Linked DNA regions of Rhinolophus ferrumequinum. The protein of the gene in region 2 interacts with the protein of the main gene of each other region in a biochemical or structural test. Links are inferred from orthologs where the notes say so. Each region holds a gene or a part of one and is shown on either strand. Other genes may lie near its edges.

The links.
Region 1: of the proteins of UBE2I (region 2) and FOS, one has a biochemical effect on the other in vitro, tested with the Homo sapiens proteins (3 studies listed by BioGRID). The link is inferred for Rhinolophus ferrumequinum from reciprocal best matches to the Homo sapiens genes UBE2I and FOS.
Region 3: the proteins of UBE2I (region 2) and TRIM28 form a complex in vitro, tested with the Homo sapiens proteins (6 studies listed by BioGRID, with this or other methods). The link is inferred for Rhinolophus ferrumequinum from reciprocal best matches to the Homo sapiens genes UBE2I and TRIM28.
Region 4: the proteins of UBE2I (region 2) and PIAS2 form a complex in vitro, tested with the Homo sapiens proteins (3 studies listed by BioGRID). The link is inferred for Rhinolophus ferrumequinum from reciprocal best matches to the Homo sapiens genes UBE2I and PIAS2.

The regions. Positions count from the first base shown.
Region 1 is NC_046289.1:23,387,386-23,394,355, forward strand, and holds the start of FOS (protein c-Fos), read right to left. Parts: upstream 3,008-6,970; 5' UTR 2,840-3,007; coding exon 2,699-2,839; intron 1,971-2,698; coding exon 1,719-1,970; intron 1,286-1,718; coding exon 1,178-1,285; intron 1,054-1,177; coding exon 412-1,053; 3' UTR 1-411. UniProt on the Homo sapiens protein: Nuclear phosphoprotein which forms a tight but non-covalently linked complex with the JUN/AP-1 transcription factor. In the heterodimer, FOS and JUN/AP-1 basic regions each seems to interact with symmetrical DNA half sites.
Region 2 is NW_022680357.1:3,163,809-3,170,685, reverse strand, and holds the start of UBE2I (SUMO-conjugating enzyme UBC9), read right to left. Parts: upstream 3,016-6,877; 5' UTR 2,874-3,015; intron 1-2,873. UniProt on the Homo sapiens protein: Accepts the ubiquitin-like proteins SUMO1, SUMO2, SUMO3, SUMO4 and SUMO1P1/SUMO5 from the UBLE1A-UBLE1B E1 complex and catalyzes their covalent attachment to other proteins with the help of an E3 ligase such as RANBP2, CBX4 and ZNF451.
Region 3 is NC_046298.1:50,976,351-50,983,857, reverse strand, and holds the start of TRIM28 (transcription intermediary factor 1-beta), read right to left. Parts: upstream 3,018-7,507; 5' UTR 2,969-3,017; coding exon 2,626-2,968; intron 2,306-2,625; coding exon 2,190-2,305; intron 1,976-2,189; coding exon 1,843-1,975; intron 598-1,842; coding exon 529-597; intron 176-528; coding exon 40-175; intron 1-39. UniProt on the Homo sapiens protein: Nuclear corepressor for KRAB domain-containing zinc finger proteins (KRAB-ZFPs).
Region 4 is NC_046302.1:38,607,880-38,615,670, forward strand, and holds the start of PIAS2 (E3 SUMO-protein ligase PIAS2), read right to left. Parts: upstream 3,021-7,791; 5' UTR 2,866-3,020; coding exon 2,842-2,865; intron 1-2,841. UniProt on the Homo sapiens protein: Functions as an E3-type small ubiquitin-like modifier (SUMO) ligase, stabilizing the interaction between UBE2I and the substrate, and as a SUMO-tethering factor.

The DNA.
Region 1 (6,970 bases), on a different chromosome or scaffold from region 2:
TTGTTAAAATCAGCTGCACTAGATACAATTTGAGAATATCCAGCACCGGGTTAATTCCAATAATGAACCCAATAGATTAGTTAATGCTATGAGAAGACTAAAGAGAAAGAGAAAAGAGACACAGACCCAGGCCTGGCTCAACATGCTACTAACTACCAGCTCTCAGATGTATCACTGGGAACAATACACACTCCATGCGTTTTGCTACATCTCCGGAAGAGGTAAAGACTTGAGTCCACACGTGGATGCTTTCAAGTCCTTGAGGCCCACAGCCTGGTGTGTTTCACGCACAGATAAGGTCCTCCCTAGGTCTACAGGAATCCTCGAGGGAAGACGTGTTTCTCCTCTCTGTAATGCACCAACTCCGGCAGTGGCACTAGTACGTGCCTGCTGCCTCCCCTCTCTGCCTGCTCACAGGGCCAGCAGCGTGGGTGAGCTGAGTGAGTCAGAGGAGGGCTCGTTGCTGCTGCTGCCCTTGCGGTGGGCAGCCGCACAACTGGGGAAGGAGTCAGCCTCAGGGTAGGTGAAGACAAAGGAAGATGTGTAAGTAGTGCAGCTGGGAGTACAGGTGACCACGGGGGTGCACAGGGGCTCCAGCTCTGTGACCATGGGCCCCATCCCCAGGGAGCCACCATGCAGGGGCTCCCAGTCTGCTGCATAGAAGGAACCAGACAGGTCCATGTCTGGCACGGAGCGGGCGGTCTCAGAGCCGTTGGGCCTGGACGAGGCTGGGAACAGGAAGTCATCAAAGGGCTCGGCTTTCAGCTCCATGCTGCTGATGTTCTTGACAGGCTCCACTGAGGACTTGGGCTCAGGGTCATTGAGGAGGGGCAGGGCGAAGGCCTCCTCAGACTCGGGGGTGGCAGCCTCCGGCAGGCCCCCACTCAGATCAAGGGAAGCCACAGACATCTCTTCTGGGAAGCCCAGGTCATCAGGGATCTTGCAGGCAGGTCGGTGAGCTGCCAGGATGAACTCGAGTTTTTCCTTTTCCTTCAGCAGGTTGGCAATCTCAGTCTGCAAAGCAGATTTCTCATCTTCTAGTTGGTCTGTCTCCTGTATACAGAGGGATAAAGCAAAGCATAAGACACAGTATTGCTCAAGGACATTGCTCCCTTATGCCCAATCTCCAACTTTCCCCTTAAGTTTTAAAAAGAAGTGACCCAAGAAATCTACCTACCGCTTGCAGTGTGTCAGTCAGCTCCCTTCTCCGGTTCCGGCATTTGGCTGCAGCCATCTTATTCCTTTCCCTACGGATTCGCCTTTTCTCTTCTTCTTCTGGGGACAACTAGAAGAAAAAAAGTCCAACATTCAATAACAGTGTCTGCCATCAGCTCCATTCATCCACCCCAGCGAACTGACTCCTGCAGCTTCCTAGCTTCCTGGCACCTCTTCTGCGAGGCCATTTATTTCTATGTAACCTGCAGTTAGTTGCAGCCTGGGTGTGACTTGCATTTCAAATAAGATTCTCAGCAAGAGAATGAAGAAGAGCCTGGTGTAAAAGCATGAGCTAGAACCTCTTAGGGAAGAAACTATTAGGATATTCCTTGGGGTGGGACTATCAGAATCTGACTCGGCATAGAAATGGCTTGGAGCCAGAGTTCCCGGTTGGGAATGTGGAGTCAGTTCCATCAGTGCCTTCAACCTATCCACTGTGCTCCCCATCTCCACCAATGCTGACCCGGCTCCCTGTAGAGAGAAGGTGCGGATGAACTCCTCACCTGTTCCACCTTGCCCCTCCTGCCAATGCTCTGAGCTCTGCCTCCAGTCACGGTCTTCACAACTCCAGCCCTGGAGTAAGCCCCAGCTGAGGGGGTGGGAACTCCATAGGGGTGGGGGGCTCTGGTCTGGGATGGGGCCACGGAGGAAACCAGGGTGGGCTGCACCAGCCACTGCAGGTCCGGGCTAGTCGAGATGGCAGTCACAGTTGGGATGAAGTTGGCACTGGAGGCGGCCAGATCCGTGCAGAAGTCCTAGAACGAAACAGAAGGGGGAAGCTGATGTGAGTGAGCAGCCTCGGGACACAGGTGGCCGAGTTCCCAGGGCCGCATGCAGGAAGGAGAGAGGGAGTAGACACGGTCCTGCCAGGGGCTGCTCCTGTCTTTTTAAATGTCCCTCGTCCTGGATAAAAGATCTGCCCTTTTCCTCCAAGATTAGGCAGCGCAGAGCCTTTCTCCTCCATCCCGCTGCTGCGTTCCCGTTATCCCTTCAGCATCACTCGCTTGAAAGGGGGTTTGTTATAAATATCCCTGACGTCTGCGCTGACGCAGGCGCCGCTCCGGAGTCTCCTGAATGAACTCGCTTTTTATCAATGAAACTGCCTTACACACCCGCCTGCTTCGCCCTCCTCCCCCGCCCCTGCACCAGACTGCAACGGGAGGGGGGATTGCCGCTTTTGCCGCCTCCCGAGAGAAGCCAGGTTCCAGTTAGCATGTCTTTGCTTGGGACACGTTTGCCCCAGCTAGTGTCAGAGACCAGACAGAGAGCGCGGGCCGGGGGCAGCTCAGAATGAGCCTGCCGCGGGAAAGGAGAACCAATTGTTACTGACAAGCGTGTGTGAGCGCCCCACAAGTCCGGGACTCGCGAGTTAGGGCTGCTCCCTCCCCGCCAAAAGGGGTACCCGACTCGTCTTCCTGAGCTTCCCGCCCGATGCCTCCACCCCAGTGACCCCGAGCCCTGGGCTCGGTGAAGCCAGCCTTACCTGCGCATTGACAGGAGAGCCCATGCTGGAGAAGGAGTCGGCGGGTGAGTGGTAGTAGGAGAGACTGTCCCCAGCTGGGGAGGCGCTGCTGCAGCGGGAAGAGGCCGCGTCGTAGTCGGCGTTGAAGCTGGAGAACATCATGGTCGCGGTTAGTCACAGCCGGGCGAGGGGCTGAGGGAGGCAAGCAGGTAGGAGCCGTGGGGCAGAACTGGGTAGGAGCGCGGTCACTGCTCGCTCGCTGCGCCGCCGCCGCCGGCTCTATCTGCACTCCTCGGCTGCTCGCTGCAGATGCGGTTGGAGTACGAGGAGCCGCAGCCACCGCTTTTATAACAGCTTTTTGTGAATGAGCCCAATGACGTCACGGCGCAAACCATTGCTGCGCTGGAGGGGTGGCGCGCAAGTCTCGACACATCTGCGGCCTCCTTGCTGCCTCCGCCGCCCTCGCAGCCCCCAGTTCCCGTCTTGTTGTGTTTTTTTATCTTATGAACGTTTAGCATTGAGTCTTAGGGGTTTCGTGGACCCCCTAGGGTGAGGGACTGCGGGGATGGCTCCCCGCACGACCGCAGGGACCGGCCGTGGAAACCTGCTGACGCAGATGTCCTAATATGGACATCCTGTGAAAAGGGGGAAGGGATTGACGGGAACTGCGCTCCGGCTGCAGCCAACTCCGAGGGTGCAGCGTGGGGGGAGGCGGGGGCCGCGACCGGGGGAGGGGAGGCGGGAAAGGCTCAGAATGCGAGCGGACGTTAGCACCTGCTTCAATGCGGACCCTTGTTCCCGCGGTGAGGGGAGGGGGGCGGCGCCTTTTTACCAGTATGCAGAAACCAAGGAACAGTTCTGAGGCTCAGGTATTGGAGAAACAGGTAAACAGCCCCGAGGGCTTAAGCCTCGGCCCGCGAAGGAATGGGGACTCCTCCTCTATTCCCAATTCTAGCAAGTTCTGTGCAAACTGTGGAAGCAGACCTTCATCCCCTCGCCTCAAGCCCACGGGCTCCAGCAATACTAGGACTGTTACTGCGTGCGTTTGGAAGCTGAAAGTCGGGGTATCCGAAATAAGAGGATAACCGATTTTTATCTATTATGCTAGGTATTTTCATTTAATTTTATTTTTTGTTTTTAAGGAAAAGGGCGCATTTTCTTTCTCGGTCATATATGGAGACATCAGTGTTACTGTCAAACCCCTGAAGCACTAGCCAATAAACATTGTGCAGATCCTCCAAGCAAGGATGTCTGAAGGGTTCAATTGCCTGATTCTGAGCTGGGGCCCGGGGCGTGGGGTTGGGGTCGGGGATGTTATGTGGATAAGGTCGTCAGTTCCTGGTTTCAACTGGAGCGAGCTCTTGGGGGAGTGCAAGCCCAAGCTGGGGAAGTGGGGGCGATCCGGTCCCCCAGGAAGCTGGGCTTGCTGGGAGCCCGCAACGGGTGATTTTCCAGCCGGGACTTGAAGGGGGAGGGCCGGGGGCGCTGGAAGGACGGTGCCCAGTAGCGCCCAGGCTGGAGACCTCTGCTGCTGGGACCTCAGGCGCAGCTCTGTGGCCTGAAAAACGAGGCTCTGGAGCGACAAGGTGCTCGGGAGGGCGCTGCGCCCCCAGAAACCCCCCAAACTCCTGCCCGCTGCAAAGGACAGCCGGGGTCACACTACCCCGGCTCGGTCCCAGCACGCCGGCCACCTGCGGGGCACGAAGCCGCAGGTCCCCGCAGAGCCCTTGTGTCCCTTCTCCCCGACTCTTCGGGTCTGGGGGTCACGGTGAACACCTGGAGAGGGTCGAGGAATGATTAGGACACTGGGCGGATCCTTCGGGACGCACTGGGAGCGCGACCGCGACCTGCCTCCCGCCGCCGCACCCGGGAGCCAGGCGATCCAGCTATAGATAGTAACAGGGAAGCGGCTGTTTACAGCAACACAGCGCCGCCAGGGCCGTCTCCAGGCGACGCCGCGCGGCCGGGCGCGCCGTCCGCCTGGCGAGGCCGCCCTCCCTCCTCGCTCCCCCAGGGCCTCGGCCTCCCTGGCCCGGCCCGGCTGCGGCCACTCCTGTCGCCTGACATCATCCACGGGGTCCGCGGGCTGAATGCGGCTCGCGCGCGACTGTGCGCTAACCTCCATTCTTAGAGATGCGAACCCCGCGGGAGCAGGGAGGGCAGGGAGGCGGGGATTCGTGGAACTGGGCCACTTGCTATTTTTGCATTCCCTGTCACAGGCAGAGATGAAAACAAAATTTCATCATTGTATGTCACTGGTTTATGTCGGTGAGAATTTAGGCGCTTTTTTTCCCCCCCCGTCTCTTAAAAAAGGGGAGAGGAAGGAAAAACACATAATACATAAATACAGACTACTCAGAGCTACTCTGAATCCTAAAGCAATTTTCCTAATTCTATCATCGGTCAGGCTACTTCATTATCTTTGATTATTTAATTTAAAAAAAAGTCTATGAAGGCAAATCCATCTCTCTCATTATTAGCTTCGGACAAAGTAGGTCAGGCTGTGAATTCCTGGGTCTAGTCTTGCATTCCATTCATAACTGTGTCTCCAGCCTCTTAAGAGAAAACCTAGAATAATTTCATTTACTTCCCCTTCAGAGTCTTGAATCAGCTTTGGCCAACATCTAAAGGTTGTATCAAGATTTTATATGCAGGATTTATCTCATACCTAACTTATCCTGCCTATGCCAATAAAAAGGGCAAATGGGCTTTGGATGAACCTGTCTCCTCCAGATAGCTTAACTCTTTCCTTCCTGGCACCATTATGACCAGAGTTGGAGACTTAATCCATCCTCTGAAAAGGACCATGACTCCATCCATGAATTCATTTATTCTTTTATTTATTGAACAGAACACTTGAGAGCCTCGTGTGGTAGGGCATTGTGCTGGGGGCTGATGCTTACTAAAATAAACAAGGTGGACTTGTTCCTACCCTCATAGAGATTCCAGTCTCATGGAGAAGACTGACAAAGCAATAGAGAATTGCAGGGCAGCAGTTAAGTGGTTTGACAGAGGTAAGAACAGAGTGCCATGAAGAGGGTATGAAGACAGGTATCAGAGGAAGTGACTGCAATACAATTATGGGGCTTGGAACCACTGTCCTCTGGGAAACAACATGATAAAGATTGAAATGTCAGAGCATCATCTGGAGAAGCAAGTGCTCAACTCAAAGCAGTTCTATCAGATGATACAATCTCAGACTCACTTTCCTGCCCCACTAACATCTGAACCTGTGATCATTCTAACACACTCTCACATCTCAATCTGTTCATAGTATCCATTTCAGGACTGCAAAATCACATTTTTAATATGGAGTTCACATGACATAGCCTTAAAATAAAGAGAAATCAGAATCATCATTGAAATGATCTTTGCCATTTGCGAAGGTCAGGGTGACTTTGAGACAGATGTGTGCGTGCCTCTGAGTACCGCTTTGCCTTCCAGCGGGGCAGAGGTTCCACGTTCTGGACAAGCCTGAGCATCTCAAACCCAAACTTACGTTGTTTGTGATTATCTACGTGCTAAGTTCCTCCTATTTGGGGATCCAGAAGTGAAAAGGAGGGTAGAATCCCACATCTGATTTTAACCCAAATTGAAAACAAATTTATTTCTCCTCAGCAGTTGTTCCTTATCAGATAGAAACTTTTCCAATTTTGCACTTCTCTGGCATTTGAGTAAAGAGACCTGACCCACATCAAGCATTTGTTCAATAACTCTAGAAGTCAGTGTTTAGCCTGGTGCTATTGCAACATTAAGTGAAAGGCTGCTGTCTGAGCCACCTACGTAAATGCTGCCACGCACAACACGTCCCCAGCATGCAGAAGTAGTTATTTATTTGGGGAAGTGTGGTCTAGTGGTGAAGGATTGTGGTCGGAGCACGGGACCAGAAGTCAGGAAAATGCGTGTAGCAAAATCAACTCTTTCAGGGACTAGGGGAAGTCGCTTCTTAGACTTGTTTAGCATATACATACTTTTGGCCTTTGTCTTTTTCATATACTGTTATTCAATTAGCACCTAGCACAGTGCCTGGTGCATAGTAGGTATTCAATAAATATCTATTGAAGGGATGAATGCCCTATCCAAGCAAAGGAAATATATATTATTGTCCTTTTTGGGTACTTAGAAGTCAAATCGATAATGTTCGTTAAATCTTTGGAAAGGCTGAACAGGCTGAGTCTTTTATTCTTGGGTATGAATAGGCAAAATTTGGGAAAGAGAAAATAACAAGATGTTAGAGCTATTTTCAGCTGGTGCAGCCTCTGTGTATAAAGAACACCCCAGTGGTTCGTGATG
Region 2 (6,877 bases):
TGACCCCAGGGTTTGGGTCTGTTCATTTCCTCCCTGTCCATGGACCTGAACCCGGGGAGGGGTGTAAGCAAACCTGCAGGGACGCTGCCGTGGGTGTGTGTGTGTGTGTGTGTGGAGGGGGGAATCCCAAGAGAGGAAGCCACGTGCTGGGAAGTGCTCGGTGCCAGGAAATGCAAAGCAGGGCGACAGGAATGGGAAGGCACTTGCTTTTAAATCGTGGCCAGGCAGCCCCCCCGGGCACAGCCCGCAGCCCTCAGGCAGGAGGCAATGTGGGCCAGAGGAAGGCAGGGTGGGCTCGCAGGCAGAGGTGGGAGCCTGCAGGGGGCGGGGCAGAGGAGCGCCCCACCGGCTTCTGTCTTTAAGGCTCTCTCTGCTCAGACGGGGGCAATGACAGTGACGACAGGCTGGGAGGCTGGGGCGGGAACCCTGATGTCTGAAAACTCTTCATTTCTCAGTTTCTCAAATCCTTCACTTCAACTGGTTCTTCTACATGAACGACCCAACAACCTTTACATCGCCAGCAGCTATGCCCTGGCCACCCCCGGGCCAGAGGGCACAGCACACATTAGCCCCCAAAGGCCTGCTGCCCACTGGCTTCCCCACTGACAGAGCCCTCAGAGGGCAGGCCCCCCTCCCCTGACCAGGGCAAAGCAGACAGCGCAGACTGGCAGGACGCTTCTGCTGAATTCATGAACACAGTTCTGTGACCGACGACAAGCAGCCTGGTAAGCGGCTGTTTAAGTGAGGCAAAGGTCCCTAGCAAGTCTGAGCTAGGCTAGGCATCAAAACAGGTTTCTGAAGCCCCAGGCCAGCTCTGGAACACGGAGCAGCCATGGACACCTGCGTCCACACAATTCCCCCAGTGCTCTGGGGGGGGGGGACTGCGCCGAGCCCAGGCCACGACTCAGTAGGGTGAACTGCCTGCCTGCCACCCATGTGCCAGGACCGCGCCTCTTCTGCTCTGAAGACCGGGCAAAGCTGCCCACGGAGGCCCTGTCCCACCTAGTGCCTAGCTGTGGCGGTCCCAGGTGTGAAAGGTCAACGAGGGGTAGTCCCACAGGAGCTCCTGCAGCCCCCCTCCCAGGGGAGCCGAGGGACCAGGCCAGGTCACAGTAAGACTTTCTGCCATCAGGGCACAAAGCCACAGGTGCCCACCAGCACTGTCCCAGGCAGAAGCCTGGTCTCCAAGATGGTGCTTCCGCTCCTGCGGGCCGCCCAGGGTCCAGGAGAAAGCAGCCAATATATTACATTTTAATTACAACACTAGGAAGCGCTCACTCAGAATCCCACTTAACACGGAACCTGCCTTCCCCAGCGAACAGACAGGCACTTAAGGAGCGTTATGTGTTACGAGATGCTTCAGAGCAGCAAAGTTGCAGATGCAAATAGAACATATCCGTGAACTACTAGAGACGCCCGCAGGACAAAAGGCCGAGTTCACCAAGCGGGAGGGAGGTCTGCCCTCCACCTTCCTCCAGGGCCCTGTAACGGGCTGTCCTTGAACCTGTTCTTCTCCGATCAGCTCTGCTGGTTGACAGCACGGACTTCAGAGCTTCTTACTGGCTGTGGGAGTGTGGCAAGCTGCTCGTCTCCCCCAACCTCAACTTCCTCACCTGTAAAATGGGGGGGGGGTGGTACTCAGACCCCACAGGTTTGCCCAAGACGAAACAGATAGTGCATGAAAAACCCTGGATGGGCCTTTTCCACACGCCCACAAATTCCCCCAGGGGAACAGCCTTCTCTTGCCTCACCCAAGCAACCTGCACTCAGGACACCCTCTGCCCAGGCTGTACTTCCTGTTCTCGTTTGACAAACCTCCCAGGACCCCAGGCTGTTTCTGAAGCAAGGTCCCAAACACGGACTCTAACCAGACAAAGGTGCAGCAGGACGCAGAATTCACCCCTAAGCCACCCAAAAGGCCGCAAACAAATTAGGACAAATTAGGATCCATCTCCCTTTTCTGTCGGGTAGGTCCTTTACCTAAAGGCAACGTTTCCTGAATGGCAAGAAACATTTGTGGCTACCCTCTTTAAAAGGCAACAAAAAGCCAACTTTGCAAACACAGTACAGTAACTTTGCAAACCGCGGAGCCAAGCACACTTTCCAAGCATACAAACCAGACCAGTTCACACTGTGATTCAGGAGCGACTGCAGGCCGTGATCCTGAGCCCAGCTAATCAATCATTCCCTTCCCTTCCCTCCTACTCACGAAACCACCAATTCCAACCTCTGTTCAATTGATACAAAGCAACCTGAAAAACAATTCTGCCTCCGGCGAAGCGCCGCCGGGCAGGGTCCCACCAACGACAAGAGGAGCTCTCGAGAGGCGCAGGAAAACTCAGGCTTGTTTTGGTTTGTAGACATCAAACGCAAATCCCCCAAACAAGCCAGCGATTTTGCAATCCAAGACTTTCAACTCTCTCTGCTGGGCCTTCTCTCCCCGGCTGGAAAGCGCCACAGGTTTGTGAGCACAGCCGTGACCCCGGAAACGCACGTCCCTCGCAGGAGGGAAGCGCCTGTCAACCCCGCCTCGGCTCCCCGGACGCACCGCGAGTCCGCGCCGGAGGGGACACCCCCCACTTTCACAAGGGAAGGCGACGGGAGCCCGAGGGAGCAAGGCCGGGGCGACGCCGAGGCCGGGGCAGCAGAGTTGGGCCGTAACCCGCGGCGTCAACTGCTCGGAGGCGGACGGTTCCCGGGCTTAGGGGCCTGGGCGGGTCCCGGGGCGCGCAGGGGGCGGAGGTCGGGGCCCAAGGGTTCGCGGGGTGGAGGGGCGCCCGCCCGCCCGGCCCGACGGCGGCAGAAGCCCCGCGCAGCCGAGGCCCGGCCCCCATCCTGCTGCCGCTTCCTGCGCGCCCCCCGCCCGTGCTCACCTCGGGCGGCCGCAGCCCGGCAAGCGAGGCGGACGAGGCGGCGGCGACGGTGGCGGCGCGGCGCTTCCTTTGTCTCGGGACTTCCCTCCCGAGCCCGCTCCGCGCGCAGCCCGAGCGCTCCGAGGACCCCGGCGCGGGCGGGGCGCGGGCGGGGCTTGCGGAGGCTGCCCGCCGCATGCCTGCTCTGCACGCCGCCGCCGCCGCCCCGCGCCCAGCGCAGCCCATACCGCCGTTCGCCGCCCGCCGCCCGCGACCCGCTGCTGCGCGCCCACGCCCCGGGCTTGCCCAGGGAGTCCGGCCCGGGGGCGATTTTCCAGTCAGGCGGCGCTCTGGACACCTGGGCCCTTAAAGGAGCCGCGTCCCCGATGTCAGGGAGCGTCTACAAACTCCCCTTCGCGACGCGCGCGTCAACTCGAGGACACGCCGGTGAGCAGCAGGAGAAAGAGGAGGCCGAGATCTCCAAGGGCGCCCCAGATGCCTCGTGGGCACCTTTCTGGGCACGGGTCCCGTTGGTCTCCTTGGGGCTAAGACCCAGGGCCGGGGGACAAAGACCACTGAGGCCTACGGATCCCCAGAAGCGTCGCAGCACGGTGACGATCCTCCGAGTACTGCGTCTGTGAAACCCCTTACAATTGGCCGGTTCGGGGCGCTGGGCGGGGCGTCCATCGAATTGTCCCAATGAGCTGACCCCATACAAACGACCGAGAGCTTGCCCGACCGACGGGAGGAAAAGTGCGGACGCTCCCTAACCCAGGGGCTGGCCGAGGGGGAGGGGCGCAGGGGCTGCGAGCGGGAGGCCGAGGTGCGGGCTGGGACCCCTGCCCGGCTCCTGCAGTCAGGGTCTGGGGGTCCACCCCCAGCCCTTGTGTGAACGCTGGTCCTTCCTGGCCTCGCTGAGTATCTCCCCGTCGGGCCAATTCCCAGGGCCAGCTTCATTGCCCAAACCCCAGCTCTGGGTGGGGAGAGGGCGCTTCCCAAGGTCAGCCCGCTCCGCCCGTGGGCGCTTAGGGATCAGGCCGCGATGGGTGTGGAGGGCGCCTGACCCTAGCCGCGCAGCGGGGGGTGCTGGACAACCCCAGCGATTTGCATTTACTCCTTTCCCTCCCTTTTTTGCTTCCTTCCCTCCCTCCATCTCCCTTCTCTGGCCCTCCCCCCACACCCCCAAGTGCCTCTTTTGGCCCTGTGCTCAGAGACTGTTGGCTTCCCCAGGGGCTGGACCATAGGTCCGGTGTACTATGTCCCACATCTGGCCCAGTGCTCTGAGTGGACGAATTCCATGTGCTCCTAGCCATCCTGTTACTCTGGGGCAGTAAAATGAAGCTGAGGGTCTCCTGGGTGTGGTGGCTCTGCTTGGCTGGATTGGGGGTCTGCCTACGATACCTCCTGGTCAGCCGTGGCCCAGAGAGAAGGCGTGGCTATAGGGACTGGGGTCCCAGGTGACAAAGGCCGGAGGGCCCCTCCGGCGCCATTGAGCAGAATGTGAGCGTTCCAAATCCCTCCCAGACTCTGAACTCCAAAGAGGCTGCTCTCTCCTGGGTCCCCACAATGATTCAGTATCTGCCTGGCCTGGGGACGCTGCCTGCTTCACCCAGGCAGCTATAGTTCTCAACCTCGGGGTGCCAGAAGCATCAAGGGGCTTGTCTGTGACACCCTTTCTCTGGTTCCCCAGCCCTGGTTGGCCAGCTCTGAGTAGTCCTCAAAGTGTGCCTTATATAATGAGTGCCCCGGCGAGGCCTGCCACACACCTCAGCTGAGCTACACTGGAAGAAACCAGCTTCCTGCTGAGGTGCATGGGCCTTAGGTACCAATGCCATCTTTCTCATTCGGGTGCCAGGAGGTTTGTTTGCACAGGGCTGCTTGGGGAAGGCACGCCGCAAATGGCCAGTAAAAGGTGGTGGCCATTGCTGGAGTCAAGAGAAGAACCAGGAGCCCAAGAGGGCTCAGCATAGCCAGGGGGCAGAGGGAGGGCGCAGCTGGTGGCCTGGATGTGGCGTGTCGTGGAGGGCCTGGGCCTCCACATTCTGTGGGCCATGGGGAGCCATGAAAGGTTGTGGAGCAGGAGACTCAGGGTCCTGGGTTCCATGTTTGTGTGTGGAACTGGAGATGGTGAGTCGTCCAGCAGAGAGAACTTCCATCCTGGTGAAAAGGGGTGTGAGGCCCAAAGTCCCTCATGCAGGAAGGAGAATGTTGGGACTGGTAGATGGAGAAGGAAGCGTGTAGCAGGAGGGTGGGTTGGAAGAGGGCAGGGAAGCTACCTCAGATCTGGTATCGTCAGCCCAGGAGCCTGCATCTGGCACACACGTTCTCAGTGATGGCCCCTGAGCCATCCATTCATCAGTCAGTTCACAAGCATTTATCCAGCATTGACTGGCCTTGAAGAAACTATGTTGTAGACGGGGCCACATGGCAGGGCCCTGGGGCAGCATCCAGGAGCTGAGAATGGCCCTCTGCCAACAGCAAGCCAGCCAGCAAGAAAGCAGGGACCTTGAGACTTCAATAACAAAGAGCCGAAGAATGCCACAACCAGTGAGTTTGCAGGAAGTCCCTCAGCCTCAGATGAGGACTGGAGAATGCCACCCCAGACTTTGGAGACCTGGAGCAAAGGACCCCACTAAGCCTGGGCTTCTGATGCACAGAACCTGTGATAATAAATGTGCTTTATTTAAAGCTGCTAAGTTTGTGGTAATTTGTTACACACTAATAATTAAAGTACCTGGTTTAGGTAGGGTGGTCAGGGAGGTCTCTGAGGAGGTGACCTTGAAACAGGAAGGGAGAGCAACATCCAGTTGTTGGGAGGGCTGGGGGAAGAGCCTTGGGGTCAGGAGCTGGAGGTGGGGTGAGGAAAGGCCGAGAGGCTAGGGCAGGGTAAGCCGGGGGATGGTGGTACGGGGTGCAGTTGGAACAGGCAGTGGGGACCAGACCTCGAATGAGATTTCCAATGTGCTGGTAAGTTTGCTGTGTGTCCAAAGTGAAGCACTTCCAGTGGGAGGGGGGATTTGATTGGGTCCAGCTCCCTGAGTACAAAGGAGAAACAGGTTTGCAGAAGGCTTTGTGCAGAATCAGTGAATATAAAACGGGGGAAGGATTCAAGCTGATTGTACCAGGTCATGTGGCCACCTGGTGGGGAGGGAGTGGTAAGTGTGATTGGGAGCTGCCTAGAGTAGGGGCAGTACCCTGTCCCCTGGGTTCTCGCCAGGGGGCCGAGCTGTGGGCACGAAGGTTTGTGTGCAGGGTCCATTGTTCAGGGGCTGGCTTAAAAAGAAAGATCTAGAAGAACGAAGTTGGACTCCTACCTCACACCACATACAAAACTAACTCAAAGGCCTAACGTGAGGGCCAAAACTATAAAACTCTTAGAAAAGAAAACGGGAAAATCTTCATGACACTGGATTTGGCAATAATTTCTTGGCTATGACACCAAAAGCACAGGCAGCTAAAGAAACGGATAAGTTGGATTTCATCAAAATTAAAAACTTTTGTTCCTCAAAGGACTCATAGTAGCAAAGAGGCAATGAACAGAAAGGGAGAAAATATTTGCAAATTACATATCTGATAAGGGAGGTTAATATCTACAATATATAAAGAACCCCTTCAACTCAACAACAACAACAAAAACACCAATTCAAATATGGGGAAAGGGTCTAAATAGACATTTCTCCAAGAAGATACACAAATGGCCAAAAAGCACATGAAAAGATGCTCAAGACCACTAGTCAGTAGGGAAATGCAAATCAAAACCAGCAGGAGATACCACTTCACGCCCAATGGATAGTTACTATCAAAAAATGGAAAACAACGAGCGTTGGCAAGAATGTGGAGAAATCGGAAGCCTTGTGCATTGGTTATGTAAAATGGTGCAGCTGCTGTGGAAAAGTCTGGAAGGAGAGACGGCTGGGGGCCTGAGGGAGCCCATGAGGGCCTGGACCTGTCTCCCTGAGCTTGGGAACTGTCTTTGAAGGATGAGGAGCCCCACATTCCACTCTGGGGGGGGTGCATGCGGACTG
Region 3 (7,507 bases), on a different chromosome or scaffold from region 2:
ACAGAAGAGCCCCCACCCCGGCCCTATCGCAGGACTCACTGGTGGTCCTTGTGGGCGTTGAGCTGGCAGTCCCGGCAGGTGAGGGTGTCACAGCTCTCACAGAACAACACGAGGGGCTCGTGCTTGTGAACGTTGCAGTACACTGTGCGCTCGCCATCTCGGGACTTGGCTGGCCCTGGGAAATGGGTATCTTAAGGAGGGAGCCCAACCTCAGCATGTCCAACTCGGGGCCTAACTTCCTGCCTGTCCTGCAGCCCTGGGCTACCTACTGGGAAAACCCAGGGGCCCTGCAACCAGGGCCCAGGAAGAGCACAGGCCCCAGAGCCCAGACCCTTCCTCTCAAAGCTTCCTGTCCCAAGCCTGACCAAGAGACCACCCCCTCCAGCTTCTGGCAGTGTGAGGATGATGGCCTTTGACAGGATACCTCCCCGCTGCTGGTCCCTCTACTGGAACCTTCTCCAGGTGGACACTCAAAAGAGTTCCTCCGCCTCCGAACCCCCCACTGGGTTCCCTTTCTCTTCCACTCACAGCAGGCTCTGTCCAGCAGGGGGGCTTTCTGGCTACTGAGGCATCCCGGGCACGAAGAACATTTGCTTTCTGGCACAGACAGAAAGCGAATCAGGGCCTAGAGGCACCACTCAGGCAGCTTCCTCAGGAGCCATGCCTGCTGACCTCCCCTCTTCTTTGCTCAGAGAAGGCCGTGTACCTTACAAGCCATAGGCCCTCAGGCGGCATTGCAGAGCCTCCTCAGGCTGGCAGAAATGAGGTGTCAGACCAGGACTCTCAAAAAGGTGTCAGGCCCCCTGGGGGCGACAGGTCCCGGTACTGTTATACCACCCAAAGACCAGTATACCACATTTACAACCCCCTCCCCACCCAGTGTCTGTCACCATTAGAAAGCTGTTTGGGAGTCTGTTCCGCTTTCTTCCTCAATCCCAAAAACATCCCGGCAATACCAACCCAGCCTGAGTTATGCGATACTGAGATACAAACCAGGCATCAGCTCCTTCAATGTTACTTCATCCTACACCCTGACCTTTGCCTAAAATCCAGGATCCTCTGCCTGTCCCTCCTCGCTCCTCATGCTGCACAGCCACCACTGCCATCCTCATCTTCCCACCAGTACTGTCCTCTGTGCTGAAGCTGCCAGTGTAACTACCAAAAGGCCACTCAGAACTTGTACATGAAAAACCAGGCTAGACTCAGAAAGCTAACAAGTCAGTTGCCATACCACTGCCAGCATTCACAGAAAGTCTGGAAATACCCAGCTGCGCTTTAAGACACCCACACCCCAAAGATAAAACGACTGGCAGTAATGGCCCGAAGGCCAGCCCTCACAGCTTGTCAAGACGCTGTGGCTGGAGGGCCTTTCTCCTACAGAGCCTTAAGGCAGGTGCCAAGGAACCCCAAGTCAAGAAGGCCCCTCACATCTCTCTCCAAATACCCTGCATTTCCCTGTCTGCACAGGGCAGTTCCTCCACCACAGACAGGCATTTCCCTGTCTGCACAGGGGGGATAGCGGGGAGCCTCCCCTGATGAGCTTCCTTGAACCCTCTGTACACTCTGAGGCACAATGAGGTAGGTCCCTGTGAGCTTCTTCAGTCTCCTGTGCACACCCCCCGCCCTCCGCAGCACCGGGGGCCTTTCTCCCCCTCCCCCACCTGGACCATAAGACCGCATACCAGAGCCCCAATCTTCTGATTTTGAGTTCTGCCACCAGGCCTTTCAGGTAGTGCCCCCTAGTGAAGGTCCTGGGACAAATCCACCATCTGCAACCCACTTAAGCAGCTGAAGACTTATGTAGAAGGGGAACCCAGGCCCCCCTCCATCCGCCTTGTGTACCAGTGGAGCGCACGGTGTGGTCCTTGGTGTACTTCACCCGCTGGTGTGCCTCCACACATGTCTCACACAGTGGCTCAGAGCACTCCACACAGTAGCTGGTGGCGGGGGCATTATCCTCACAGCTAGTGCAGCACTGCCAGGCAAAGGTAGAGTCAGGAAACACAACCACCAGAAATGCTGGCATTTGCAATCCAAGAAACGTTAAGTGGTGCCTTTACCTAGCCTGAACAATTTGCCCAAATGCTCACAGTGTAGGAAGAATAAACTGGAAATATAACCATGCCCCTGAGCTGATGACCCCTCCCCAAGGCCCAAAGCCTCCTAAATGTTGCTAGAACGGAACATACCTGATTCGCATCCTGGGAGTCAGCGGCAGCCTTGCTGCCACTGTCACGCATAAAATAATTCTCCACAATATCTTTGGAGAAGCACTGCTGCTTGCACACAGGACAATCCACGACTGCTGAGAATAAAAGGAATTGAAACCATTCCATGATCACATCCAGACTATATATAACCCCATCGTCCCACTGGACCCCAGTTTCCATCTCAGGCATCCCATGCTGGGCCGGACCTGCCCTCCCAGAACAGAAGCCAAACAAACCCTTCTTTCATCGAACTTGAAGCACACGCCCCATCTCAGCGCCCGGCAGAGCACTCTCCGGGACCCTATCCTCTCGCCTAGCCGATTCACCCGCCACACACTAAGCACAAACTCCCCATCTGCGCGCCAGGTCGGGATCGAAAGCTGCCGGGTGGAGGGCGGGGTCAGACTGTACCCACCGGCTCCGTCCCCCGCCGCGCCGCTGTCCCCCGAGCTGTTGGCGACGGAAGGCGCCGGGGTCCCAAGGCAGGCGCTGCAGGCCGAGTGCAGGCAGGGCAGCAAGCGCGGCTCCCTCTCAGGCCGCAGACGCTCCCGGCAGACGCCGCAGTGTTCCAGCAGCTCCAGCGCCTCGCCGCCGCCCCCCGCAGGCGACGATGCCGAGGCGGAAGCCGACGCCGAGGCCGCGGCCGCGGCAGGGGAACGTTTTTCGCCGCCCGCCGAGCCTTCACCCGGGCCCGGACTGCCCGAAGCGGCTGCCGCCGCCGCCGCCGAGGCCGAGGCCGCTGCTGCCGAGGCCGCCATTCACACGCCGCCGCGGGCGCCCAGGGGGAGGAGGGGCGCGGGGCCCGCCGCGCAGGCGCAGATGCACTCGCCGCCAACGGCTGGGTAGCTGCCGATGCCGCCGCCGCCGCGAGGCCGAGCGCCGCCACGCGCCGCCTGGGCCTCCGCCCGCTGCGCGCAGGGCGCTGCCGAGGCACGGCCAGCCGCTGCCTGCTCGCCTCCCGCCGACGCCGACGCCCGCGCTTCCCTCTCGGTGGCCTCGGAGACCCAAGACACGCAACGCGAACAACCGCTCGCCCGTGCGCCCACTCGCAGAAAGAGCCGCGGCTCGGGGGCGGGACAGAAATAACTGGCGCCGACGCCGTTGCGCAGGCGCGCTGGGCGCCTTGAGCTTGGGGGCGGGGCCCGGGCCGATCGCTATAGAAGAGGCAGCGAGTACGCACGCGCCTGAGTTGGATCCTCCTACCTTCGCCGGCACCACCCCGGCGCCGCCTGTGAGGCAGGGCGGAGCATCATTGACGTTATAGCCGCAACGTAGAACGCGCTCACGGTTTTTAGAGAGTGCTCCACCTCCCCTCTGGCCCCACAGTCTGGCCGCTGTGCTGCGCACGCGGATTGTCAGCCCAGGCCTCCACCTCAATCCCCGCCCCTTTGGCGGCCGGGAGACGTCTCCAGTCATTGCAATAGGCGTTCGGGAGAGGGGGCGGGGCCAAGACCTGGAGGAGACGGCGGGCCCGAGAAAGGGGCAGAGTGTTCCCATCCCAGAAAGAAGTTGCGTTCTGATCTGGCAGGCTGACTTTTCGGTTTTAACCTTTTCATTGTTTAACGTGAGAAACACTGAAACCTGCCCGAATCGAATAGGTCCCAAGGGGCTACAGAGCGGCGAGTCTTGAGATCACGCCTGGCCCACCAAGCGCCCCTTCCCGTCTCCAGCCAGCATCTGTGTTGACTTGGATGCTTTTCCAGGTGGCCGAACCGAACTTCAACGGAGGTGGACTTCTAGGGAGGGAAGCAGGGTTGGAGAAGTGAATCCTGTCTGCCGGGGTCAGCTCTTGAGAGGATGCAGAGCCGCAAGACACTGCTCGGAGTCTCCCTGGCTCGCACACGCCGAGGCTGCAGGGGGAGCAGTTGCAGCCTCCCTCACCTAGCTCCTCAGGCGCCACCCTTGGCGGCGGAGGCGTGCCTGGTCCAGGAGAGATAGGCGTAGCCTTTGTTCCCGAAGGGTACTGGGGGCCTTGGGGCTTTGTTTCGGCGCCTGCCTTTGTTCCAAGCCTGACGCTGCCCCCTCAGCTGCGTCGGGTGGGGCCACGCCCCCTACCCACCCAACCCCCCCCCTACCCACCCACCCACCCCCTCCGAGGCCCTGGCCGCGGGCCCTTGTTTTCTTTTTTCCTTTCTCTGGTAATTGGGAAGGAAAGTTGGTAGCTGGCCGCCCATAGGGTGAGATGTGACGTCCTTTAGTAGTATTTGCTGGATACTTTGGGCGACCCCGTCCTGCGCTGGGCCCCAAAGGGGGTGTAACCCATACCTACCCTGGCCCCTGGGGCAGACGAAGGAGGGAGGGGGGCACGTGGGTCAGGGACCAGAGAGTCAAAATAAGTAGTTGATGGTAAAGAGTGTGGGAGTGGGCTTCCGTAGGTGCTGTCCCCAAACACCTGCAGGAAAGACAGTTAAGGCAGAAGCAAGTGCAAAGGCCCTGAAGCTGACTGGGCACATACGGAGCTGGGAAGTGAGCAGGGTGCATCATACCTAGAAGTTGCCAGACAGCTGCCCTTCACTAGACTCTGGTAACTGGTCCTGTGGTTTCAACGGCCTGCCAAGGCCTATCCTGTTCTCTCTAAACAGTCTCCCCTTCCTCCTGGGCCCTGGACCTTCCCAGTACATGGCCACACAGGCAGGGTGCCAGCAGCAGGCCTTGGAGAGTGGCCTTACCACCCACTGCTGGGCCACTGCCAGCCCCCTTGTCCAAATAGGGAAACCAAGGCTTCTGGAAGTGCCAAGATGGCATTGGGACAGGGGGATCAACTGGAAACCAGGTTCAGGCGGACTCGGGCAAAAGGGGCATCCCAGGACTAGCTGAGCTAGAGTGGGCATACAAGCAAGCAAGGCCAGGGCAGAACCCTTGCAAAAAGGTCCTCTCTGAAGATGCAGCCTATCCAGAGATCCAGAAGACAGGTACATCTTGGCTCTGCCCCCCACCCCCACCCCCGGCCATTAGGTCAGACAGAGCAGTCAGTGTCATTTCTGCTCTCATCCCCTGTGCTCCCCGTCCACCCTTTACAGTATCTCACCCTTTCCAGTCCTTGTTCATTAGAAATTGTCTACATCCTGGCTTTGCAGACAGGTCTCAAGGGTGGAAACTATAGGAATCACTCATACGGCACCAAGGGCAGCCAAGGCCTGCGGGCAGCCACCTTCTCCCTTCCCCACACTCCACACCTGCACCTGGCTCTCCTTCCAACCTTCAGGTGTCACCCCCAAAGCTATTTCTCTGGGAGGTCTAGTGACTGCATCACTCCAATCTCTTACTCCATCTGCACAGATTTCATCTGGGAACTAGACAGTTGTAGTTGTAGGACAACATGAATATACTTAATGCCACTGAATTGTATGTTTTACAATAGTAAAACTGGACAGTTCATGTTGTGTATATTTTACCACACACATAAAAATCAGATTTTGATAAGAGCTTTGGGGTCGTGGCTGGTTCCTCTCTTCCTACACATTTCAACTACAGAGAATCACAAAGACAGGCGCTCCAAGTTGTTTGTGCTCACTGCAGTATCTGCCATGCCTAGCCCAGGGCCCAGTCCACCATAGGCACTCAGTACATGTATAAAAGGGCAAACAGACGCATGGAGATGATGACTGTCTGGAGTCTGCCAATTTTGTAGGCTACAAGATGAGTTTTGGATTCTACTACTTTTAAAGCTGTTTTTAAAATGTGGTGAAAATTCACATGACATCAGATTCATCATGTTAGCTATTTTACAGCATGCAGTCAGTGAGTGGCAATTTATACATTCACTATGTTGTGCAATCACCACCTCAACACCCCAAAAGGAAACCCTGTATCCATCAGCACTCTCCTTTCCCTCTCCCACCAGCCCCTGGCAACCACTGATCATCTTTCTGTTTCTATGAACTTTTTAACTTTTTGATGGAGGCTTTAATAAGTAGAGGAAAGCACACACATCTTACATACAGCAAGCACCCTACAGAATCAGCTCTGAGAGCAAAAAAAAAAATGGAACGTCTCTGGCTCCCAGGAGCCCTCCATGACCCTCATAGCCGCTGCCATCCTGACTTCTCTCAACACAGAGAAGCTTCACTGGTCTGCTTATTGAAACACGCCGAGTTTGCACGTCTGTCTGGTTTCCTTCCCTGAGTGTACATCCGTGTGACTGTATGTGGGCCTCATCACACAAATACCCTAGTTAGTTTGTGCATCCTCCTCTTGATCGCATTTGGGCCTCCCTCCTGCTTGTGCTGTAATGCACACAACCGCTGTCCCACATATGGTTTCTGATTGGGCTGTTCTTTAATTGTTAGGAATGACATGATCTGATTCCCATTTTAAGGGTTCCAGGTGGGGAGTAGATGGGTTGGAGACAGAAAACAAGAGATAAAAACACTCATGCAGGTAAGGCAGAGAAGGCACTAGACCCTCTAAATCACCCTTTAAAATCATGATTGTTCCTCCATTAGTTTCCTGTGGCTACTGTAACACATTACCACAAACTTGATGGCTTAAAACAAAAATTTAATTCACAGTCCTAGAGGCCAGAATTCTGAGGTTCAGATACAGGGAGGGCCAGGTCACAATCCCTCCGAAGATTCTAGGGGAGAAAGAATCCTTCTTTGCCTTGTGGACAGAAAAGGGACCACATGTTAAACCTGACAAGCTCAGGAGACTGAAAATGACCACATAGGACAGTGTGAACATAAAAATTCCTAACTAAGGTGGGCCATGGCAGGGAAGTCATATGCTTGGCCTGTAGCTTCCTTAACAAAGGTCAATCTTTACCTTAAGTGAGCCTATCTGTTGTCTTTTTGCATCCAAGATAATATAGCTTTGGAATGTCAGAGTAATTCCTTTCCAGACCCCCCAGGGGGCACAACCCACCACACCAGAGCAGTAAACTACAAAATCCCTCATTGTTATCTTGTTCCCCAAATATTATCTCTATGTGCTGTAAAATGCTATTAACTATCCTGTACCCACCAATGTAAAAAAAAAGTGTGTGTCTCTCCATTTTACTTTTTAGCCAATCCCAGAGATTTCCCTGCTTTGCTTTCTCCCACCCCCTTAATCTATAACCAATGGATTTCATGTAACCCTCCTCCCTTGATTCTAACGTATAAAATAAGTTGGCCATTTTCCGGAGCATTTTCTCAATCTATTGAGACTTTACTTCCCAGCAATTCTCATCAGTTTGTCTCAGATAAACTTACATACTTTCTCTTAGGCTGGATTTTTTTTTTGTCGACAGCCTCTTCTAGTTTCTGGTGGCTCCAGGGGTCCCTTGGACCATGTTAGTCTTCGAGATCAACACCTTC
Region 4 (7,791 bases), on a different chromosome or scaffold from region 2:
TAGGGTAATACACCTTTGAAATGCCAGAGTAATCCTCCTTTCCAAACCCCTCTGGTAATCATCCTCAAGGAAGCTCATAGACTTGTTGCCTATATACTATCACTATTTCCTACTGTGATTGTTAAATATAAACTACCCTGTACCCACCAATGTAAAAGAAATATATCTCTCTATTTTATATTTATCTAGTCATAGGGATTTCCCCTCCTTGCTCTCTCCACCTCCTTAACCTACTACCACCAATAGATTTCATTGTAAAAATAGTAAAAATACATTCCCTCCTTTCATTCCAAATGTATAAAAAGAACTGCAAAACTGCCATTCGCTGAAGCATTTTTGAGCTCTTGCTTCTGGGCATGTCTTCAGTTTGATTCTAATAAACTCTTATAAAATTTTCTATAGGTTTGGACGTTCTTACCTCAGCAGTCACATAAGAAGGGTGCTGGTTATTTATCATGCAATTTAGTCCATGGGTTACAGGAGGATAGCTGGGAGTGCCGCCTGGACCCAAAGGAAAATGAACAGTGCAGTGTAGTTCAGACTCTGAAGAGCACCAACTCTAAAGCTAGACACCTGAGGTTTAAAAATCCCACGTCTTCCAGACTCGAACTGCGTGATCTAGGCCAGATTATTTCATCTCTCTGTGCCTCAATTTCTTCATAGAATTGCTGTGAAAATTAAGTATGTCTGTGTAGCGCTTAGACCAGAGCCAGGCATGTATTGTAATAAGCACTATATTCTACTGGATATCTGCATTATCTTATCATCATCACCCTTCGCACTGGCAGGGGGCCGAAGGCGGCGGGAGTACAGTTCATCTTTAAATGTAGAAGACGCCACGGAGCAGCTAAGGCAACGACTGGAGTGGATAATTCTTCCAGCATCTCCACAGCCCGCACGCTCCCCTCCTCTGAAAACTCTCCCCATTAATCTATTGTTAGTTACCTAATGTGAACTGTGAGGGAGGGGGCCATCTTCTATCAAGTGCAGGGAGAAGTAATCACAACTGATTTACAGAAAGCGATGATGAAGCTGACCCACAAAACAAATCAGAAAAGGGAAAGAGGTGGAAGGCGGAGACACAGAGAGAAAAGCTTCTTTGATTTCCAACCACTTGGCCGTTTCTGGTTCCACTCCAACCAAAGCACTGACTGTTCTTTCTGCTCTATACCAGTAAATAAACTGTCTACTTTTTATTAAGCTTTGACCAATATGTAAAAAGTGTAATGCAAGACTTGGAAAAGTTCATCAACAAAAAATCTTAGAAAAGTTGTATCCTCGTACATCTGTTATTACACAAAAATTAAGACAATACTGCAGGTAAAAATAAATTTAACTTTAAACTTCAGTCTTCTCAACCCATCCCAAACCTAACACATGAATTTACACAGGTGAGGCTAAGGCCTGGTTGCTTCAAAAGCTCCACAGGTGTGAAAGCTCTGCAGCTGGGCTTCGGAGACACTAAAATCCTTATACGTACGTTAGCCTTACGAACACCTGTTTCCTACTATCGTGGTTCTCTGTATAAACTAGTAGAGGGCATTAATTCATTAATATACTTTTATCTTTACTGGGAATTAAAGAATTCTTGAAACAGCAGGAGGAAAAAATGACAGGCATTATACAAACTGTAACAATCTCCCTTTAGATCAGAATAATTCATGCATTCTTTTGCTGATGTCCACTGTACCAGCGAGGTCACCGGCCAACATCCTTCCCCGACCCCATCCCCTGCCAAAAAACAATAATAAACATACAAAACTGAATCTTTTACCGGACTCCTTTCCTTCTTATTCCAAAAAAGTAATCCTAACACCATTCGTTCATGTTAAGCAAAACGTTTACAGTGAATTTCAAGTTTATATTCATCTCTATTTTGACTTTGTTTTAAAAATCAGGGTTTCCGTCCTTAAATATTCCAGTTATGTCACCAGTAATTCAAGTGAGCCATAAAAAATAAATCTGGTCCCTTTATCACAGTTTTGTTTCGCTGAGGACTCTGAAGGTTATCAACCCGGGGGGTGGGTTGGGGGGGGAATATCCTTTATGTTCTACTTCCAGCACACCCCTTTTCAAACCTCTATTGTACAAAGGCATCAACAATAAAGTTGTGACCTTGTTCTAAGGCTAGGAGGAAAAATGTTTTTCCTCAACAGCAAGACGAGTTCACAAACTCACCTCATGACAACACGGACTTTGCGGATTTCTTACCATAGCCCTCAGAAAATATCAAGGTTGAAGGCCGATAACTGAAGGCAGGGTTCCCAAAAGACAACGCTTCTCTCCAACACGTTGAGGAAGCACTGGTGGGAGGGGCCTTTCTCGTGACCCATCTGACTAAACGGTAGCATCAGTCGTAGAGAAAAGAGAATTCCTAAACCCAACTTCACGTTTCAGAAAACAGTCTCCCACCGAGTGAGGAGCATGTGGACTTCTGAATAGCCAGAGACTCGGACACCCCTCGCGAAGGTGGAAAAGCAAATCCTGCTTCCACATCTGCCCTTAAAATAACGGGGAAGTCGCGTCCCCACGAGCCCCTGCCGAGGGCGGCCCCGGACCCCCGCGCCAGGTGTGCGGAGCCCAGGCCGGACCAAAGGGCCGCTAGCCCTGGGCCCCGGGCCCGCCAACCCCGACGCGGCCCCGGCGTCCTCCGCCGCCTCGTTCCCCTCCCCCTCCCGCCGCCTGCCCCGGCGCCCACTCACTCCGACGCGGGCCGGGACTCCGGGCTCCACAAACCCGTCCCCGCGTAGCAAGAAGGTGGCGGCCGGCGACGCTGCGGTTTCCCCGCCTTCCCTCCCCTCCCCCGCGGCCTCCGCTCTGCACTCCCGCGCCCCCGCTTACCCTCAACTCTTCGAAATCCGCCATTTTATACCAACCGCGGGCGCCGCCGCCGCTGCCGCCACAGCACCCCCTCCCGTTGCCGCCAACGACGCCGCCGCCGCCACCACGGCCACCGCCGCCGCCTCCAGCACCATCCTGCACTGGGCGCCGCTGAAGACGCCGCGGCCGCCGCCGCCGTCGCCGCCGCCGGGCCCGTCACGTGATAGGCACAGGAGCTCCGCCCCCGGCCGCGCGGCCCCGCCCACCAGGCGCCCCCACCCACCCGACCCGCCACTTTCCGCCGGCTTCTTCCGGCCGCGCTCCCCGCTTTCTGCGTGATCCTCTCGTTAGCTCCCGCCCTCTATCGTGCCCTGCCCGCCTCCCGCATGCCTTCTCGTGCCTAGCCCTGTCGCGGTCCTCTCTCAGCCCCGAGCGGTGACTTCCCTCCTCCGAGCGGCGGCCGGAGGCCGACCCCCTGAAGCGCCGTCGCAACTGCCGCGTTACCCGCGGGCTTGGAGGAGACCTGGCCCCGGGGAGTGGCTGAGAAGAGGTCGGGACTCGTGACAGGAACATTTCGGGAGAATTCTTACGGTGCCCTTTCACACGGTGGCTGTGGACAGAGGAAGCAGCTGCCAATGAAACCGTCCTCCAGCGTAGTTGTGTGGGAACGATCTAAGAATGGGTGCTGGATGAGCCATTGTTCCGATCTAATGATGCAGGATTGCTGCGGCCTCTTTGGATTGCTAATATCCTCAAAGTACTAACGGGGCTGATTCTGACTTTGAAGGGCAACTGAATGTCATGGCCAGCAGAGTTGAAAGGGTTGGGGGCAGGGGCGGCACTGGAAGAGAAGTGAAATAAGAGAGTTATCAGAAGGGCCATGATAAAAAGTCGAGGAGTCAGGGAAATCTGATAGCTAGGGAAGAATGAAATGGCAAGGGCAAGAGAAGATGGAAGGAAGCTTGATGGCACTTCTGACTTGCTGATAAAGGATGAGAGAAGATGCTGAGGAAAACTGATCAGAAAATTTGCTGGACCAAGTACAGGGTTCAGATTTCCTTGAAGAGGTGAATGGAACTCATCCACGAAAAGACTTTCAAACACTTAATAGAATTTCCACGGCCCCGTCTAATCTGGTTCCTACCTACTGCCTCCTCCCACTCCCCCTCGCTTCACCAACAATGCACTTCCGTCAGTTCCTCCATCAGACCCACTACCACGACTGATGAGACAGTGATTTATCAACCACCACCTTTTCAGACCTCTGAATGTTGATCCTCGGGCCCAGAATAACTTCCCACTCTTTCCCTCTTCCCCTCTTGGACTCCTGTTCACCCTTCAGGTCTCAGTTTAAGTATCACTTCTTCAGGAAGAACTTCCCTAAACCCACATGCCCCATTTCAATTCAAATCCCTCTCTACGACGACTCATAGGACCTGAACTTTTCCTCGTAATATTTCTCCCTGGTAAATATGTAATTATTTGTGTGATTATTACATAAATAGTGTTTTAAGTTTTTTACCTTAAAATTTGTTTAACCCACTAGACTAATGACTGATAAACGCCTGACAAATTATTCATTTGTTTAATGAAGAAATGAAGAACAGTATCTAGAGTAGGTTCTACACCGGGGTGTCCAAACTTTTTTCAACGTTTTTCACCAAGGACCATATGTGGTAAAATACACAAACAGCCGGGCCAGTCACTCGAGGTGAAGTACTTATTGCCTCACCTGGTTTATTTAAGTAAACTAAATATATTTTTGGAATTTGCTGTGGGCCAATTAACAATGGATTGCGGACCGCAGTTGACCCACGGGCCGCAGTTGGCCCACGGACTGCATTTTGACACCCCTGTTCTACACCATTAACTTTGTGGTCTTAGTTTGTCTTATTCTTGATCTTAGCTTAGTCTCCTTAGGCCTTGGTTTATACCTCAGTAGAGTTTAACATTATTCAACAGACATTAAATGAAGGTTACTGTGGACTGGAGTTTGGGGAACAGAAAGAAGAATAGAATACAATAAGCCTTTCCGCCAAGGATCTTACAACCCATAAGAGGGACCATCATGAATACAAAACTAAGAGAAGCAAGGCTGCACTGAAACTTGTTTGTAGTGTTCATTGTAGGGTTGGGTAGGTTTGACTGCATAGAGTATTAGGAGCTGGTCCAGACTGGTTTATGCCAATAACAACTGATGTCCTCCTGGATACCGTGATTAGATCAGAACTGTTCCTGTAAATCCAACTACAGGGCATTTCCAGGTTTGCCAATTAGGTCAAGTGTGGGCCCCTGCCCCCAAGGTAGGCCAATCAGGTAGGGCAATAAATATCTTAGATATTCAGTGATTAGAGCTGAGGAGACTCTCTAGAATGTGGAAAGCTGTAGCTATTTTGCTACGAGGGGCCAGCTTGAGGACCAACCCATGTCATTGGCAAGAATCACTAAAAAAAAATCAAAATTAGCTTTGACACCCACCTCACCTCTGTACTTGCCAGTGTTCTTGAGCCAATTCCTTTTTACTGTCTTGGATAGTTTGAAATGAGTTTTCTGTTAGTTGCAACCAAAAGAATTCTGAAACAGGATGCTACTTTGTCTCCCCAGGCCAGATTACTAATTTGGCATCTTTTCTAAACTATACTCCTTATATTCATTCAATATTCTTTTCAAGGGAAAGCTGAGTGGTAAAGTATAGAAAGAATGCCTCTCTCTTTACTGTCATGAGCAATTCAGCTCTGGCTCAAATTTGTAATATATCCTACTTATCAAAAACAAATCTGCACTTACTTGGATCTAACTTCCTTATAATGTGTTATAACAGTAGGCTCACCACCACTGTAGACCACATACCAAAGTACCACTCCAGCCACATACAGAATTGTTTCCCCAGAGGAATTCCATTAAATACTATTTTATTTACATTTTCAAGGATAAAATCTGTTTTATGGATTGAGATTCTAGGCAATTACCTGGTTGGGCTATCATCTTAATCTGGCTCCAATTAAAAATAAGTATTACAATGAAAGTGTCCTAAGATTATACTACATACTCATACAGTCAAAAGTCTCAGGATTGGCTTTTCCATTTATTAGGTGTGTAACTTTAGCAAAGTCTCAACCTATCTTTTCTAATCTATAAAACAGGAATGATTATCACTGATCTAAGGATGTTGGACGATTAAATGAGATAAGGTATATGAGTGCATTTTATAAACTTGATATATAATAAAAATATATATCAATATAAAATTGATATATAATAATTTTTTTGTATCTAAATAGGTGATAAACACACCAAAAAAAGTATTAAGAAGCACTCAGATACCCATATGGTATGTCCTAGTATCTTCAGAAAGGAGTATTCAACCTACTTGGACCATTCATGGAAAATTGAGTTTAGTCCCAAGAACCGGTCTTTTTAATTCTTTCCCTTTCTATCTCTGAACACATCAATTATCCCTGATCTCAACATCTTTCTTTTCCTTTCCACTCATTTCCTCTTCCTATAACCATGTTCAAGCCTCCTAGATAATTTCAGGTCACCTTTCTTCTTTTGCCAAACATACATCTATTTTAATCACATATATTCACTCGTTTACATTTTGCAAATAGTGTTTGGCTTCACCTTTACTGAAACTAATATCAAGGAAACTGAACAATTAATTTATCTTTTAATTTTACATCCCCAACTTTTTGTTCTGAATTGTTTTTAATCTGTAAAGAAAAATTAAAAGCATAATACAATGAACATCTGTATACACTCTAGCTAGATTCAACAATTGTTAATATTTGAACAATTTTTATTAAGGTATAATTTCTCATCATACAGTGAATTTCTCATATAGTGAAATCCTCATATCTTAAGTAAACTCTTCAATTAGTTTTGAAAAATGCTCATCAAGATACAGAACATTTCCATTACCCCAGAAAGTTCCCTCCTACTCCTTCCCAGTCAAACTTCCCACCAGAAACAACCAATGATCTGACTTCTAATACTACAGAGAAAATTGAAAAATGAAGGAACATTCTCTACTTATTATAAAATGCTATTATAACTTCAATGCCAAAACTAGGCAAAAATTAGTTTTCCTATCTAACTTATAAACAAATCTTACCCCAGGAATGCTGGCATAAATATTAAACAGCTAGATAATTTGATTCAACTCACCAATTGAGAACAATCAAAATATCTGAATTTAGAAAAACAAAAGCAAATACCTAATATAAAGAATTATCCAGCCCAAATCTTAGAAGGCAGTATTCTAGGTAGTTAAACCAAATATCTCTCCGGAAGGCATTTGACAATCTAAAGGTAAAATCTATAAACTGAGCTATGACTTTTGAAGGATTCCTGAGCAAGAGAGAAATAAATCTAAATCTAGTGCCACAGAAGATGGAAAGTCTAACATAAACACTCCCCATATTTAATACAAGACCCCATAAGGTAAAGATAAACCAGAAGTAAGTCAGCACTTCCAATCAGGTTTTACAGTAATCAAGAAACTTCAAGCCTTGAATACTAAATAAATAGGTCCTAGACTGGCATTCCGCCACAGTCACTGGGCAGAAACAAACAAAAATCCTCTCCAGATGAAGGCATCTTTACCTCAAACCTCAGATTATCCTACAGATAATTTTCCAAATAAAATGACTAGCAGAGTCAGAAATCAGAAAAAGACTGCAATAAAAGCATGCTTACACTTTTAAAATTTAAATTAAAAGTTTGAAAAAATCTAACAGGAATTCTAAAATTGAGAGGTTTAAAACCTCAATTGAGGCCGGACCGTTGGCTCAGGTGGTTGGAGCTCCATGCTCCTAACTCTGAAGGCTGCCGGTTCGATTCCCACATGGGCCAAGGGGCTCTCAACCACAAAGTCGCCAGTTCAACTCTTCGAGTCACACAAGGGATGGTGGGCTCCACCCCCTGCAACTAAGATTGAACATGGCACCTTGAGGTGACCTGCCTGCCGGA